Linked DNA regions of Drosophila melanogaster. The protein of the gene in region 1 interacts with the protein of each later gene in a biochemical or structural test. Each region holds a gene or a part of one and is shown on either strand. Other genes may lie near its edges. The genes, in order: Rm62, MEP-1 and Fmr1.

What was found.
Region 2: the proteins of Rm62 (region 1) and MEP-1 form a complex in vitro, tested with the Drosophila melanogaster proteins (one study listed by BioGRID).
Region 3: the proteins of Rm62 (region 1) and Fmr1 form a complex in vitro, tested with the Drosophila melanogaster proteins (one study listed by BioGRID).

Annotation. Positions count from the first base shown.
Region 1 is NT_033777.3:6,005,508-6,010,618, forward strand, and holds the start of Rm62 (Rm62), read right to left. Parts: upstream 3,067-5,111; 5' UTR 2,964-3,066; coding exon 2,530-2,963; intron 2,222-2,529; exon of another isoform or gene 1,939-2,221; intron 608-1,938; exon of another isoform or gene 454-607; coding exon of another isoform or gene 443-453; intron 1-442. Other genes in the region: CG10280 (uncharacterized protein), read right to left, coding at 5,066-5,111. UniProt on the Drosophila melanogaster protein: As an RNA helicase, unwinds RNA and alters RNA structures through ATP binding and hydrolysis. Involved in multiple cellular processes, including pre-mRNA splicing, alternative splicing, rRNA processing and miRNA processing, as well as transcription regulation.
Region 2 is NT_037436.4:2,629,719-2,634,803, forward strand, and holds the start of MEP-1 (MEP-1), read left to right. Parts: upstream 1-1,996; 5' UTR 1,997-2,093; coding exon of another isoform or gene 2,094-2,198; exon of another isoform or gene 2,199-2,258; coding exon of another isoform or gene 2,259-2,403; intron 2,404-2,556; exon of another isoform or gene 2,557-2,748; intron 2,749-3,819; coding exon of another isoform or gene 3,820-4,025; 5' UTR 4,026-4,091; intron 4,092-5,085. Other genes in the region: CG42245 (uncharacterized protein), read left to right, coding at 2,094-2,198, 2,259-2,403, 3,820-4,025.
Region 3 is NT_033777.3:10,107,029-10,112,136, forward strand, and holds the start of Fmr1 (fragile X messenger ribonucleoprotein 1), read right to left. Parts: upstream 3,094-5,108; 5' UTR 2,788-3,093; intron 2,581-2,787; exon of another isoform or gene 2,496-2,580; intron 2,196-2,495; exon of another isoform or gene 2,044-2,195; 5' UTR 1,948-2,043; intron 1,884-1,947; 5' UTR 1,862-1,883; coding exon 1,667-1,861; intron 1,315-1,666; exon of another isoform or gene 1,202-1,314; intron 452-1,201; coding exon 402-451; intron 1-401. UniProt on the Drosophila melanogaster protein: Polyribosome-associated RNA-binding protein that plays a role in neuronal development and synaptic plasticity through the regulation of protein synthesis of mRNAs.

The DNA.
Region 1 (5,111 bases):
TTGCATTGCCGAAGTTTACTTAGTGTCAAGTATCAAGGGCCTTTTCCTTATTCATGGAAATTGAACGACTTCACGACTTGTTATTTCGCTGCCGTGAATTCAGTGGAATCTTTAAGAAAATATCCCACTTTGAGCTTTGTAACCGAATTTCGCTGAAGTTGATATAGTTTGATAGTTTTCTCACAAACTTTTTAATTTCGCGTTGTACATTTGTATAATCAATTCCTCCTTATCTGCCATCTAAAATAATTTTGCGCTGCACACACATTACCCAGAAACTGTGTGTCATAAATTTTCCCTTGATAAAAGGGACCTTCGAGAATTAAACCATGCTTAACTGGAATCATTTTTTCCGGCTCGGCGTAGACAGCTGCACTTTCTTTTCTTAAGTATTTCTTTGACAGAAAATTGAGGAAAAAAAGAAACGAGTGACTTGGCTTACTTTGCTCGCATGCTGCCGTTTCTAGACGTCTGCCAGTTGGGACTTGGATTTCAACTGCGACTTGGCTTGGAAGGTAAGTCTTCGCTTTTCGATTTCTTTCGACGCTGCTAAACAGCTGACATGGGAGTTGTGCTGTGCTACAACCGCAATAAACTTAAATAAAAACTAATTGCGTGTTAGGGAAATTAAATAAATTTCGAATAATGCAAACAGTAAGGCAAATTTGATTGACAACAACATGCAATTCGAGCAGGGTTTCTATTCACAGCCCACCCTCCCACCAATTTTTCACCCCAGTTTATCAGCCCCTAAATGCTCAACTAAACTAAACAGCCCCATGTACAAAGCCCTGCGTTTATTGCTCTGGCATTAATCAACCTGGCGCAGTTCTAGTTCCAGTCAGAACTGGCGAAGGTACCGACCTATATATGTTAGCACTTTGCAATAATTAGGGAAAAATAATATTAACTCTGCGGAGTGTATATACAATGTGGTAATAAATATAGTGCAAGATTAAGTTGGATGGTAAAGTTGTATAAAACAAAATTTACAACATAAATTATGTTTATTGTGTTACGAACTAACTTCTATAAATTTCCACTTTATATTCGCTTTACTTCGTATGTAAGCTCCATTTTCGTGATCCTAGTGGGCATCACTATGGGGTGCACCATGCAAATCACCCACGATCCAGGCCCACGTTTTTTTTTGTCTATTACTCTGTCAATTTGGAACACCGTACCGCCCTAAACGTCTATTTGTAGGACCCACTGGCACGCTAACGTTTGTGCCCAACTAGCGAAGCGGAACGCTCTGAACATTTATGAGACAGCCAAATGTCTTGCCCCTAGTTTCAACGGTGGGCAAACACCCGAGGGGAGGAGGGGACAGTCCCTGGGGGCACCTTTGACTTTCTGTGTGTCTACCTGTCGCTTTTTGACATGCGAAAAGACGAATCGCGCGCTCGCCAAAGGGGGAGCTCATAATCAATTGGCGTCATTTGACATTTTAGACTAATGGGGCCGTTTATGTGATGGCGTAGTTCACGAACTGGGTTACTATTACCATTTAATATTTGGTTGTTACTTGAGTTTTTATCAATACTATAGTATAACTTTCTAATAAATAATTTTTATTGCATAACAAGCATGGTTCATGATAAGTAAACACAAAAAGAGCGTAGCAAAATAGATAAAATGATCGATAAAATGCATTTTTGATAATCTGTAAGTTAAATGTGTTTGCATGGAACCTTTACTTATAGTGTAGAGAAAATTTTAAGAGAATAACCCTACTTTTCCCTAAAATTGTCCTCAGTATACAGAATTATACTGAAATTATATATTTCAATGTACGCATTAGATAACCAAACGAAGCAAACCATTAACCCCATTCACTTCCCAAATTAAGCATAGTAAGTATAAATCTATGTCGGGATGGTTACATCAAATTATAAAATTGCCAATACCAAAAACATCGCGATATCTCTACAAAACCTCGTGTGAGCCATGGAAAGAATGTGATGGAAAGGCATGCTGGCGAGTGAGCAGGACGGCGCTAGTCAGTGACAGCCGCCGACTGTTATACGCTCGCACACACTGTTCGAACTGTTCTACGAGCACGAGAAAATGCCGCCGTCAACAGGCATTCACGCATACAAGCAAGTCCGTATGTGCCGCTGTGTGAGTGCGCGTGTTCATGTTCGGGGCATACAGACAAATTAAAACGCTATAAAATAGCAAACGAAGCAAGAACACGTTTCACAAATCAGGCAAATTCTTTTTATGACGTGCGCTGTCGTTCTTGTTGCTTTTGCTACTCCTTTGCGGATGTGCGGGGGCAAACACAAAGAAAAAAACAACAAATGGCTGAAAACCTCACCTCCGACTGACAAAATTTAGCAAACCATGTGTTTTTCTCTCTCTCCCCAAACTCTCTCTTTCGCTCACACTAATTACTCATCACCTCGCTTCGTAGGTGTACAGAAAAAAAAAAAAAAAAAGAGGAATGGCACGAAGGGTGATAAAATGGCGACAGTGAGTGGAAAAAACCAACGCATTTCATATGAAATCTTGCGGCGTACTCACATTACTCCTTCAATTTTGATTTCCTCAGTTCTTTCGTCGGGATCGTTGAAAAGCGATTTCCTCGTCCTCGTCCGCTGCTCTGCTTTCGGGATGGAATCTACGTAGTCGTCTGAATCTGGTTTCGAGCTGTCTCGAAACGCACGCTGCGACTGAGCTTGGAGACTACTATATGTGCTTGGGAACAGTATTGTCTCACGATTCCTGCGACTCCCGTGGAACTGTTGTCGTTGTTCGGTGCAGAGCGAAGAAGAAGAAGCGAAAGTGCCGCTGCTGCTGGCGGAGGAGAAAAGAAAATGGCGACGTTGCGTTATACATTTCTCGGAGCTCGCGCCACTTCTCGGGGAAATCAATAGCAAGTTGCCCCAGCCGCAGGCAGTCGGTCGGGGCGTGGCGCCGCCCACCCGGGGGGCTATGTATTGCACAAGCTTAAGCATTTTCCCGAAGACTTAGCTTCAATGCGGTTATGCTAATGACGGATTTATCCTACGCAGCGCGGCATCCGCGCGTGTCTTACCTAACCTCGTCCAAAATTAGAGTGACCCTAGATGGAGGGGAAAAATCGGTCGAGAAGTTGGTGTGACCGCAGCGGGCTCGCATGAAAACGTCTATTAGAGTGACCACCTGGTTGCTATCGATAATCAGCTGAACGCGGTGTATTTACTTGCCCGCTAAGTTTTTAATATTTAAGATTCTGCTGAAACGAACTTTAAATATATCTCGTCGTCGGTCCGTACTCCTAATATTCGGAAATGTCTTAAATTTCCTAGCTATCGATAATCAGCTGAACGCGGTGTATTTACTTGCCCGCTAAGTTTTTAATATTTAAGATTCTGCTGAAACGAACTTTAAATGTATCTCGTCGTCGGTCCGTACTCCTAATATTCGGAAATGTCTTAAATTTCCTAGCCTACCAAAACGTAGTCTGTGCGGAGATTAGTAAATATACCTTAACAAATATAAGCATAAAACAACTTTCTGTGTTGAGCATTTAGCAAAGACTCACCCCATTTGTGGTTTATTTAACATTTTCAATTAATACAAATTTTTTGAAATCTACCAAAAGCGCAAATCTCGCATCATTTTTACTAATATTTTAAAGAATTAAAATAAGGTTGGCTCAATATTCTGAAAGGAAAAATATATCCTATTATTTATAAGAAAATATAATATTGTACAACACACAGAATTTTCATCATTAATTTCAAAATTTCATAGAACTTGCTTGTTGACCATTTCAAGTCTATAAAAAGTAATACTTATTAAAGAAATCTTATAATTTACACATAATTTTATTGCTTACATCTAAAAAATGAGTCTGAAAGAAATCGAAAATTTCACTCGAGTTTTAGCGAATTAAATTGAAAGAATCATAGTTATGATTGGAAATAGCTAAATATAGATATTATGCTGGAAAATAAAATGGCATCTATGGAGGATTAAGTAGCCACATATATTAACACCAGTAAAGAATGCACTTATTTTTCAAAATGCCAAAAATTGAAATTTACGGCACTTTAATGAAAATGAGTATCTGTAAGCTCTTACAAATTTACCAACTACCTCACTGTACTTTATTTAAATATCTTACCACGAACTATCGTATATCGTAATTGTACTGTAAAGGCCATGGTCAATCGGTTTTAAAATTCGGAGAGAACCCTCTCCAAAAGGTGGAGTTGCTGTGTGACATTTTTAACAAATCAATTGATAAAGACAAAAATAGCAGATAACACGTAGCCACCCAAACATCCAGTTCATATGTCCTTCTTCAGTACTAAAATTCCCTGCCGCACTTTTCCTTGGGAGTGTTCAAAAATACAAGAATAAATGTTACAGCCTTCTTCTAGCAAAGTTTCGAACACTGAATTTGCATTTGATTGTAGAACGTGTCAAGTGGATTTTGCTCAATTTCTTAAAGTGAAATATGAAAAACCGGTAAGTAATACGTTTCTTATTAATAATTTTATAAATAAATATATCTAATTGCATTACGAACTATTTTAGTGAAGTTAACAATAAAAACAGATTATATTCAATTTCGTTTTTATACGAAGCATGTTGCAAAGATGACTAAAGATCCCGGGTGTTCTCAGGTATGTTATAATTTTATCCTCCTTTGGGGTATGGAAATATATAAGTGTGATCACCAAGTGACCGCATTAGCAAGCAGTAAAGGCACTGCTTTATCTAGCAGTGTTATACAGGTGCATATGAGATGGCAATACTTTAAACCACGTCTATCTCTGCTAAGTTAAGCAAAATATTTCTATGACACTTGCGCATGTGGCAAGATCAAACCTTTTAGTGATCAAGAAAATTCGTATGCATGCCCACACATTTCTATCTATCTCTTAAATTTTCATAATTGAACCTAGTATACCCGGACCTGCAAGTAATGGATATGTTTAGTTAGTTTGGTGGGTGGGTCAGCCAAGAATGAATATGTATAAGGGTCTACGCATTATTTTATTAAAGTTTATTAAATATCAAATCAATGTGATTCATAACAAATATCCCAGTCTAGGTCCACGTCCACTTACAACCCGAGAAGGTGGCAGAAACTGCGGTACATCTTGGCCCTG
Region 2 (5,085 bases), on another chromosome or scaffold:
AATCCAATCTATTTCCTATCTAATTCCAAAGGGAATATTTAAAAAATTCTTTTTTTCTTCAATACTATCTTGGATTTTACAAATTTGTTCATTTGTTTTCCAACACTATTGTTTTGGGCATTAGACAACTATTTTTTTTATTTTAACAAATATTTTCTTCCTATTTCTGGTCCTCGCTTTGCTAAGCAAAATTACCGAATTACTAGCGATTCGAGCGATAGTTTTCTCTCAGTGCCTCCGCGAAATGTTTAATTTTAGAACGATATTCCGCTATTAAACGAGTCCGGGCAATTTTCGACCGAGTGAACTGAACTGAACTGCACGCGCCAAATGCCGACTAGCATCTGAGCGCCGAGGAGCAGAGACTGTAAAGCGGAATTTGAACCGAATCGCCGAGTTGCACTTCGGCAGAGGCGGAGGACTCCGTGCCGGATGCAGACTGTGATAACATTTTCCTGAGGCTCTGCGTTCTCAAGAGTGCTCGATATTAGTTGGCCGGCATGTGACTTGAAGCCTATGGATTCTGAATGGGACGGTCGGATGGATGACTCTATATCCAGCATATAGCATCGTATCCGTATCAAGGCCGAAACACTTGTGTTGCACCGGCATTTTCAATGTATTTTCAATGCGGACGCAAAGCGAGCAAAACAAAACACAACAAGCATACGCCACGTTGCACTTGCACAGCATCAAATGCCCTGCCATCCTCATTTTTAATGCATGAGGGGGTGCTCCCTCCACCCGGCCACACTCCATTTGTTTTTCCAACCATCGCTGTGGATTGCGTAGCGATTGGGGGCTGCAGCTCCGAAACTGTTCGCTTAAGCGGTCGGTGATAAGACGCGAAATCAAATTTAAAAGCTATCAATTTGATATTAGTTCGGGGACCGACGAAAATCCTTCGGGGGAAAAGCTGCTGCCGCGTGCCAGAATGCAGAAATCGGAGTTTTTCATGGGGAATTCGTTCACGGAAAAACAAAAGGAATATATTTGAAATATAAATTTATGTTTTATTGTCATATTTTTCACTGGATATGACACTAATTTAATTCTTCTCTATCTGTCAGTCTACAGATATTTGTTTGGGTTTATGCAAAAAAAAAACCAAAAAAAAAAAACTTTTGTTTAGCTCCTCTCACGTATTTTATTTATAACTAAACTAAATATATGAAACGCTGTTTTCTCAGTGCATCCTATTTGTGTTTTTGCCAACATATGCTGCAGCTCATAAAATTTCTCCGCTTTGCTGCAGTTTTCATTTGCCTTTTTTTTTCGGCAGCTCTTTTTTGGTTAGCTGTCGAAGTTTTGAAATCAATTTGCAGATGATTTATTATGTTCCCAGGAACGAATAGGGGGCTTCAATCGAGGAGGAGTCTGTGCATACGACATTGCAAATGGAAGCCACTGACGTTGATGAATGCCGCTGTGTATTGTTTTGCTGTCAGAAGCGATCAAATTTCTGTTTTGGAGCACGGAATTCCAGGTGAAGCGGAAAATTTGCAAGTTATGCGACAGTTTTATGCGCCCATTTTTTGATTGGCAGCGAGGATTCGCAAATTGATGGCACGTCTCGGGGCAATCGGTTTTCTCAGCGGAAATGCCAGTTGGAAATGGGAACTTAAGATACTTAAAGAAATGCATCAAAAATAATAGGATAAATATTATATATTTATAGAAATTTTTAAGAAATATTAACTCTTTATCAACAGTAAGCATTTTCAAAAAGTAACCGCTTTTGCCTAACAGTGCTGCCCATCTACAATTGGTTTTCAGGCAGCACTATGCACACGGCAGTACAGCTGTTACTTATCGGTGCTATCGATAAATATCAAGGACTCAAAAATTGGGACTAATAATATTAAAAGAGCAAGCTTAAACTTTAACATTATAACTATTAAAACTGGATTTACAATTGTCTTACGTTACTTTAAAGTATAGCAGTTGAAATCGATTTAGTATTGTCAACGCGCGCTTTCCCACACTGCTCGATAAGCATATGTTTTTCTTATCGACATTTGTGGTAAATAAAAAGTGCAAAAACCGCTGCTAAATCGGTCAAGAAGTGCAATGATATAGCCGCCATATCTGATATGTCCAAGCGCAACATAACGTACGTAAAGCCGCAAGAACCTAGTTTTCTGGCCAAGTTGAAGGCTGAAATTGGCTACAAGGAGGGACCCACCGTAGAGACCAAGGTGAGTTCTACGGGGAAGGCCTCTGCAGCATTCTAATGCGGATATATAACCATTGGTTAGCGTCAGCGATTGGATCCGCAGGACCAGGAGGACTACGATTCTGAGGAAGATTCACGGGAGGACGAACAGCCGCAGGTGGTCGTCCTTAGGCCGGGAGATCTATCCGCCGAAGAGGCCAAAACGGAGAAACTGTTGGCCTCCAAAGGTCGGTACATATGTACAAGCATACATACATACATATCGCTGTAGTACATACATACTTACACGCTCGCACACGCACACACACATGCATATAGCCCACGGTGGCGGCGGCGGCAGTTGCACGTGTGTGCGTAGGTAGGATGTTGTAGTTTGTCTTTCAGTTTAACTTTTCAGTCAGAATCGAGCGGTTGTCTTCTTCTGCCCGGCGTTACATATATCTAAATCATATATGTATATATACATAACTGCGTATATACCGTTGCTTATGTATGAGTGCGCGCGTGTGCTTGTGCATTTTTGCCAAATGAAAATCTAACGGTAGTGCGAAAACAGCAGTTTGTTGCAAGAAGTATGTGTTTTTTTTTTCGAAAAGCACCTTCGGTTTTTCAATCTTTTTAAAGCCCTATGTTGCCATGGCAATCTTGGTCATTTCCGTCCTAAAGATTCCCTTTTTTGCCCAGCGGAGCACCCCTCACACAGACACACACACCCGCAGCAGCTAGCCGACGAGGCATACACACTGACATTTTCATTGGGGGCTCCGCCAAAGCAGAGCATGTGATGAAAATCGTTGGCAAAGCGGGCGCGGCGATAAAGCAGCCGGCAAAGAAGTTAACAACAGCAGCTGCCGCCGCTCGCTTTGTCCGCCTCTTCCGCTCGCCCCCCTGCCCCTTTCAGCCCCACTTGGAAGAGCGCAGAAAATCGGGTGAAAACAACGTGTGCAAGAACGAACGGATGAAGGAGGCGGGCAAAGCGGAGAGACAATGATGAACGAAGCAGGCGAGCAAAGAGGAAAAGAGCGGGCCAAAGTGGCTTGACGACGTGGTGGCGGTGGCAAAGGCGCTGCGGGGAGGGGGTAGGCGTTGAAGAAGGGGCTGGCGGAACAGCGGGGGCGGGTTGCGAATCAGTGGGTGGAGCGGGAGGGGGAGTGAAGCGGGAGCGTCGGGCGAGAAGGGGCTTCCCAGGGCCGAGAAAAACATCTTGTGGGTGCTGCTTGGAAAAGGGGGGGGTCGGTGGGTGGCTTGTTCTGATTTACACCTCCCTCCTCCCCATTTGTCATGCTGCAGTTTTTAAAACCCAGATACATTTTCCAATCCAATAATGAATTGCTGGCATATTAGTCACCTTCCTGGCAATTTTATAAGCAGATCAATTTTCAAAAACTTTCTTGTATTCCTTTTAGTTAATGCAATTTTTAAATTTATTTTATTTATATCAGCTTTGATATATGTATTGGCATTTTTCTCCCTAAATTTGTGCATACTACTTTCCCCAAAATATTTTTCATTCTAAGATAGTTTATATAACTTAAATACTCCATTTAACTTGTAAATAGGTGTTTACTTACACGCTTTACTACGATCATAATAAGTACAGATGATTGCTGACCCATAACTAACTCCCATTTTCAATCTTCCAGAATTAGCCGAAAAGCGAGCGGATCTGACGCAGCCAATAGTCTTCAAACACTGTGTCAAGCAGCCCAACATCGAGAAAAAAGAGTCCCAATCTGAAACCAACAAGAAGTCCGAAAAATCCAGCACATCCAAGAGCAAGAAGTCCAAGGCCGCCAGTAGTAAGCTGTCCTTCAACGAGGACGAGGAGGACGAGACTGCCGAGGATTGAAGATCACACCTTAGTTATCTGGCTATAAGTTGAACCAACCAAGTTAACCTGCAGCGAATGATTAAGGTGAGAAATTCAGGTCAAAAACAGCAAATGATTGTTAACTATGCTTTGTATTTCTTTGTTGCCATGTGAATTTATGAGTTTAATAATGGGGTTTCCATATGTATGTGTTAAAATCCAACTCGCAATGACGCTGTCATCATAGATTGTAGATTTTTCACCAAAGAACTAAACTGTATACTCAAGTTGATATGATATAGTATATATTTGAGTTTTTGCATTAAACATATGCATGTATTGCTGATTTATTGTTATTTAGAAATGAATCATTGAGATTAGATCATGGTTTTGACACGTCGATCGTAAAAATAATTATAGAATTCTTTAAAGATCCCTTAGATTCCTACAACATGATTTTTTCCTAAAGCTTTTCCAAATTTATGTTTTTTAAATAAGTGTTACACGTTTTAAGTAAATTATTAGCATACTAATTATATTTATTATTATCACGTAATGTACTTTACGTGAATCATACTACTTGGAAAAATATTAGTGACTCAAAACCGAATATTTGTGGTGAAATTTTATGTTATTTTCTTCTTTTTTTTAATGTATCTAATGTTACATTTTTCCATTTCAATTGTGAGTTCTTAGTTGGGTTTGATATTCAATCCCAATACAGATTGATCTTAAATCTTGATCAAAGTCCGAAATCTGCTAGAGAAAGTCCTCGGACAACAGGATTATCTAAACTCTGATACCTAATATCTTATAATTTAATCACTTGATTAGAAGAAATGTGGTAAAGTCCTTTTTGATACATGCGATCAATCTCTTAAATTAGTATCTTGTATCTTTACTTTCGATTCAATTGACTTCACCTCTAAGATATTAAGACCCAACTGCCACAGTAATTTCCGCTTAACTTTGTAAATTTGCACTGGAAAATATGAATTGGCTAATTTACTCGATATCGAAAAGGGTCACGTGTATGTATAACATAAAGTTGGGGTTTGGGTTTGAGTTCGGGGTCTTTAATGATGATGGCGATTGGTTA
Region 3 (5,108 bases), 4.1 Mb from region 1:
CGGGGAACTTCCCAAGTCAGTGGGGCGGACAGTTGCGGATGGCGTTGGTCAGTCTGTCAGTCAGCAGTTTTATTTGATTTGGCTCATTTTTTTTTTCTTTTTTATCAACTAATAGCAACAGAAACTGCTGCAGCGGCGTCTGGCGTTTAACAAATTGCGCCAAATTAGTGAGTCCGCAGTAGGGGATTCGGCGGGAAGTGGTTTGGCGGATGGCGGACGACACAAATGATGCGTGCCCAGAATCTCTAATTTCTAATTCGGATGCCAAGAAGTCGCGTCGGTGGTTGTTGCTGCTCCTGCTGCAGCTCTGATTGTATTAATCGTTGCAAATTAGTTAGAAAATACGCTCTAGTTGTTGTTGTTTGCCCTGTTCGCAGATTTGTTTGTTTAAACAAACTTACCCGTCCACATCCACAAAGATGCCATCATCGGCGACAGCTGTCACCTGGCCCTGTTGTTGTTGTTGTCGTCGTCGTCGTAGTTTTTAGTTTGCAGTTGTAGTTTTTTGTTGGCGGCAGGCAGGCAGCAAACGGATGAAATACAAGAGCATTGACAGGGCCAGCATCGGAAGGCATAGGAGTAGAGAGAGAAAAATGTGTGTCATTAATGTGGCCATTGCCTATGATATACCTCCATTCGGATGTGTGTATATGCATAAGTATATAAAATATATTTTTACGATAGTCCCCCCAATCCCGTCCCATTGTGAAATCGAGAATTGCAATGGCATTAGCGAGGGAAACCGTATATCTCCGATAAGCGAGTAGTCGTAGAACCTTATCCGAAATGCAAACAGCCGACAGCTGAATCATCAGCATCAGGGAAGTCGCTCTAGTCGAGTGTGTTTATGTGCATTGCCCTTGTTTTGATTCCAAGCACTGAAATCAAAGGCAACGCTATGCAAAGTATTCACTACCTTACTATACATATCCAGAAGGTTTCCAGAATAGGTTAGCTAATGATGGGGATAAGTACTAAGAACAATAATTGAAAGTATAAGAATATTCTTAAGTGCACTGTTATCTGGTTTCCAAAATGTCTATATTATCATTGGAAAATTTAAGCCTATAAGCATACATTTTTGCTGAATTTGTTTAAACAGTGAACAATAAAACACATCAAAAGCTAGCATTATGAATGGGATTTAAGACTGAACTTCGTTCATAAGACTAATGATTCGAGATCTAACAACCTCGTATACCTGTAATCTATCCGCGAAAATCACTTAACCGCGATATAAGATGGTTTAATCGGATCTTATCTTTATAAATTGCAACGACAAGAAAGGGAAATCATCAAAACAACAAAACCGAATGCACGACGACGTCAGTGGGCAGCGCAGTGGGCGGCGCGGTCCGCGTCGACATCGACATCGACGTCGACGTCGGCACCCCCACAACGCAGTGTGCGTGAGTGCGTTGGTGTATGCAGATTGGCGATGGTGCTGGTATTAGTGTAGTAGTGGTAGTGGTAGTGGTGGTGGTGGTGGCGATGATGTCGAGACTCCACTCAAAATGTTGCTGTTTATTAATAGAAATAAAGCTAAAATCCACGAAATTAGAAACTGAGGCAGCTGCTGCCCCAACTCCTTGCTCCTCTGTTTTTCCTTCTTTTTTTTTGTCACCCCCTTACCAACATTTTTATTCCACCAATTGAATCAACTCACCTTGTAGTAGGCGCCATTGTCGAGCCGAACTTCCACGAGGAGATCTTCCATATCGCCAGACGTAGTGCCTCCTGGTTTATCCGCTTTGTTTTGGTTCTGGTTCTGGTGGTTCTTCGCCGTCCGTCCCTGTCCCTCCTGCTGCTGATGCTGATGCTGCCCAGCCTTCAACTCCCGACTTTTCCCCGTCGACTGCAGTTTGCCGCGTTATCTGGGGCTCCTGAGGGGGAAGAATGGAGATATTAGGGCTATAGATATAGCTAGGTATGGGTGGGTATGCTCACAATTCAGTGTGCAGTGGCAGAAACCTCGCGTTCCTGCTTCTAGTTCCTTGTACTCAAATCAGTCTTTTGCTTGGCGGCTGCTGCTTCAAATGTTGCCTGTAATCAATAATAATATGGAATGGTTTTGTTTTTGGTATTTTTGAATTTTTGTATCTGGAGAGGGAGACTATATATTGACACACTAATAAAAAAAATAGTTGAAGAAAATTTTGAAGTTATTTTGGGGGCCAGATAATTCCTAGCTAAACACTAAATGCAGCTGGCGGCGAAGCCGGCAGCGACGTCGGCTTTGCCGGCAGCGCAGCAGCGCAGTGCTTCCTCTTCTTCTTTGTCTCTCTCCCTTTGTGTGTGTGAGCCCGCCGCCTCACACACACATGACCACCACCAAGCGTGTGCGCTCTCGCTCTCTTTTTCTCTCTCTCTCGCCGCCGAAATGCTTCGTTCGTTCGTTCACACCGATGAACACGCTTTTCCAATAAGAATTTGTACGCACACTACGAACGGCACATGCCGAATTTACATATCGAATTTACACATAATTTCCACACTTGCTTTCGATTTTCGCTTTTCTCAAAGAGAAGAAACATCAGCGTTGCGTAGCCGCTCGCCGTTTTTCTCGTTCTCGTTCTCTACTTTTCTTTTTGTATTTTATCGGTTTTCCTCTTTCAGCTGCTCCCTTTTGCTGCCGCTGCCGGCAGAGAGGCGGCGTCGCTGCTGTCGTCGACGTCGCAGCCGCCGACGATGTGCAAAATTTTTTGGTTTTTTTCGGTTCTTGCAAAATTTTTTCAACACTTTTTGCGGCTGTAATACACAAGAGACTGCAAATTTTTGAAAACTTACTGCTGGCCGGCACTTTTGCACTTCGTTTGCCCTCGGCGGATGCCTGTGAATGCGGCTTTAACCTTTGAAAATACAAAATATATCGCGTGCAGTGCTGCTTCAATTTTTTTCGGCTGCGCTGCGTTCTCTTCGTTTTGCTTTTGCACACTTTCGCAGCTCGGCAACGTTCTACTGGAGTTGCCACCCGTTTACAATCGGCGCGCGTTACTGGCCACTTCGGATGGTTTTGGCTAGATTTCGGGCGTGTTTGGCCCAAGCGATAAATTTGTGAAAATAAGATACGAAATTTTTGATAAATGATTTGTGCTCTATAACACAGGGCTTGTTTGAAAGCGAGAGAAAAATGATCTGACAGTAAAGTGGCAAGGCTGCTAAGTGACAGCTCACCGGGCCTTGCCAGAGTGACTATAAGTTGTGGGTTCACAATAAACAGGGTTGTATTTTAAGCGCGCTAGGCGGTTACGATTCGAAATTCAAAAAGCTGATAAGATCATTTAAAATTTAAATGAAGTCGACGAACCGAACACTATTGACTGCTCACTTAGTTTGCTGTCTGCTAACAACGTAATTGAATTGCTAGCCCATCAGCAGATTGATTCGCATGTTTGGTGGCTTTTCAATTGATTCGATTCGATTTTAATTTGCAGAACTGCTGACCACTACGCCTTAATGTTAATGTAATTGTCTATGTAATTGCAACGACTGCTGGGGTCAACAGTGGGCGCAATTTGCCACATGCGGTGTTTTATTTGCCCCTTTGATTGCCCCCAAATCGCGTGACGTCGCTGGCGCTTTTTGTCAACACGCTTGTTGAATTTGCTTTTTACTATTTTTTTTTTCTTATTTTGCCCTTCCATTCATGAAACGCATTTGATTATGAGTGGCCGATAAAGGTGCAGTGCGGTCTATTTGTAATCCAATTTCCATCAATTTTCAGCGGATCGGACAGCAGAAATCTGACGGAGTACTCCATTTAGGATGAAACCACATATTTGCTTGGAACTACTTAATAAGATTTATGAATTATATTTGTGAACTTTACTCTTGATTAATAAGTGGGCAAGTCTAAAAGCTCGCCTGTATTTAAATCGCATGCCATTTAGGCATTTGTGTGGTGAAAATGGGCCAACAAATTATAAAAATTCATGGCCAGTCAGTTAATGGGAACCATTAAATCCTTTATATGCCTGTGAATAGTTGGAAATTCTGTGTCTCTGTGCAAAGGCAATACCCTCTACTCGCCATTTTCGCATTTCCCAGCCTATTTGCAGGCAGATTCCGTTAAAATCCCATAACAATTTTCCATACAGGGTATCAAGATTCGCAATTCGATAGTCATAAATTACCGCTCGTGTTGACGGTAATTACTGTCAAGCGGCGATTTGTTGCGGAAATGCAGTTTCTGATTTGATTTTCCCGCGCCCTTGCCCACCAGTTAACCACCCCTATTTCAACCGCTTTTCCACTGCCGAGGAAAATGAGAGCAGCTGCCGTTTGACATTGACTTTTGTTCTACCTTTTGGCACATTAACTGCACTTTAATGACGTCGACATGGCCAACAAAAGAGCGAAAGTTCAGCGACGACAGCCCCTCCTCCTCTCGCATCTAGCCATCTCGCTCGCACCCCAGAATTTGTCCCGCTCAATTAGCATTATGTTCGTTTCGCGATCGGATTTGAAACGATTCGGTTCGGGTGCAATTGCAGTGCAACAATTGGTCACTTCGGGCACTAAATTAATTTAAATTCTAATTTTAACCGCGTGGAGGGATCAAGTGAAATTTATTTGCCAAAATGTGACAATCTCGATCGTGACAGGTACGTCACTTCCTCTCGACGTAAAATACACTGCGAGGAATATTCGGGCAAGTAAATTTTTCAATAATAAATAAGATAATACATTCCTTATAAAAGGTGTTCACTGCATTTGTAATTATAGTAACATAAAGAATTCGCGCATAAGTGTGAATATTAATAGAAATAAAATTCAATAAGTTTAGTCATTCTCAAATTGCTGGAGCAAATTCTGAGCAACAATACCCTTAATACGAAAGTTAAATTTATTTTTTCTTTTGTTTAATGGTTAAAAAAGATGAGATCATCCTTCTAAAAAACCAGGTAGTATCATTCCCTTGCTAATTATTTCTAAGTCCAAGTGCAAAAACAGTGTATATTTTAATACCTTTAAATAGCAGAATAAACATATCATAACTAATAACTGCCTCGTGTTAAATATGAAAAATTGGGGTAATAAAATTTCATTTATATTAATTTTATAATTTTTCCATCATTTCTTCGAACGCACTTTTTTTCCTCGGTGTA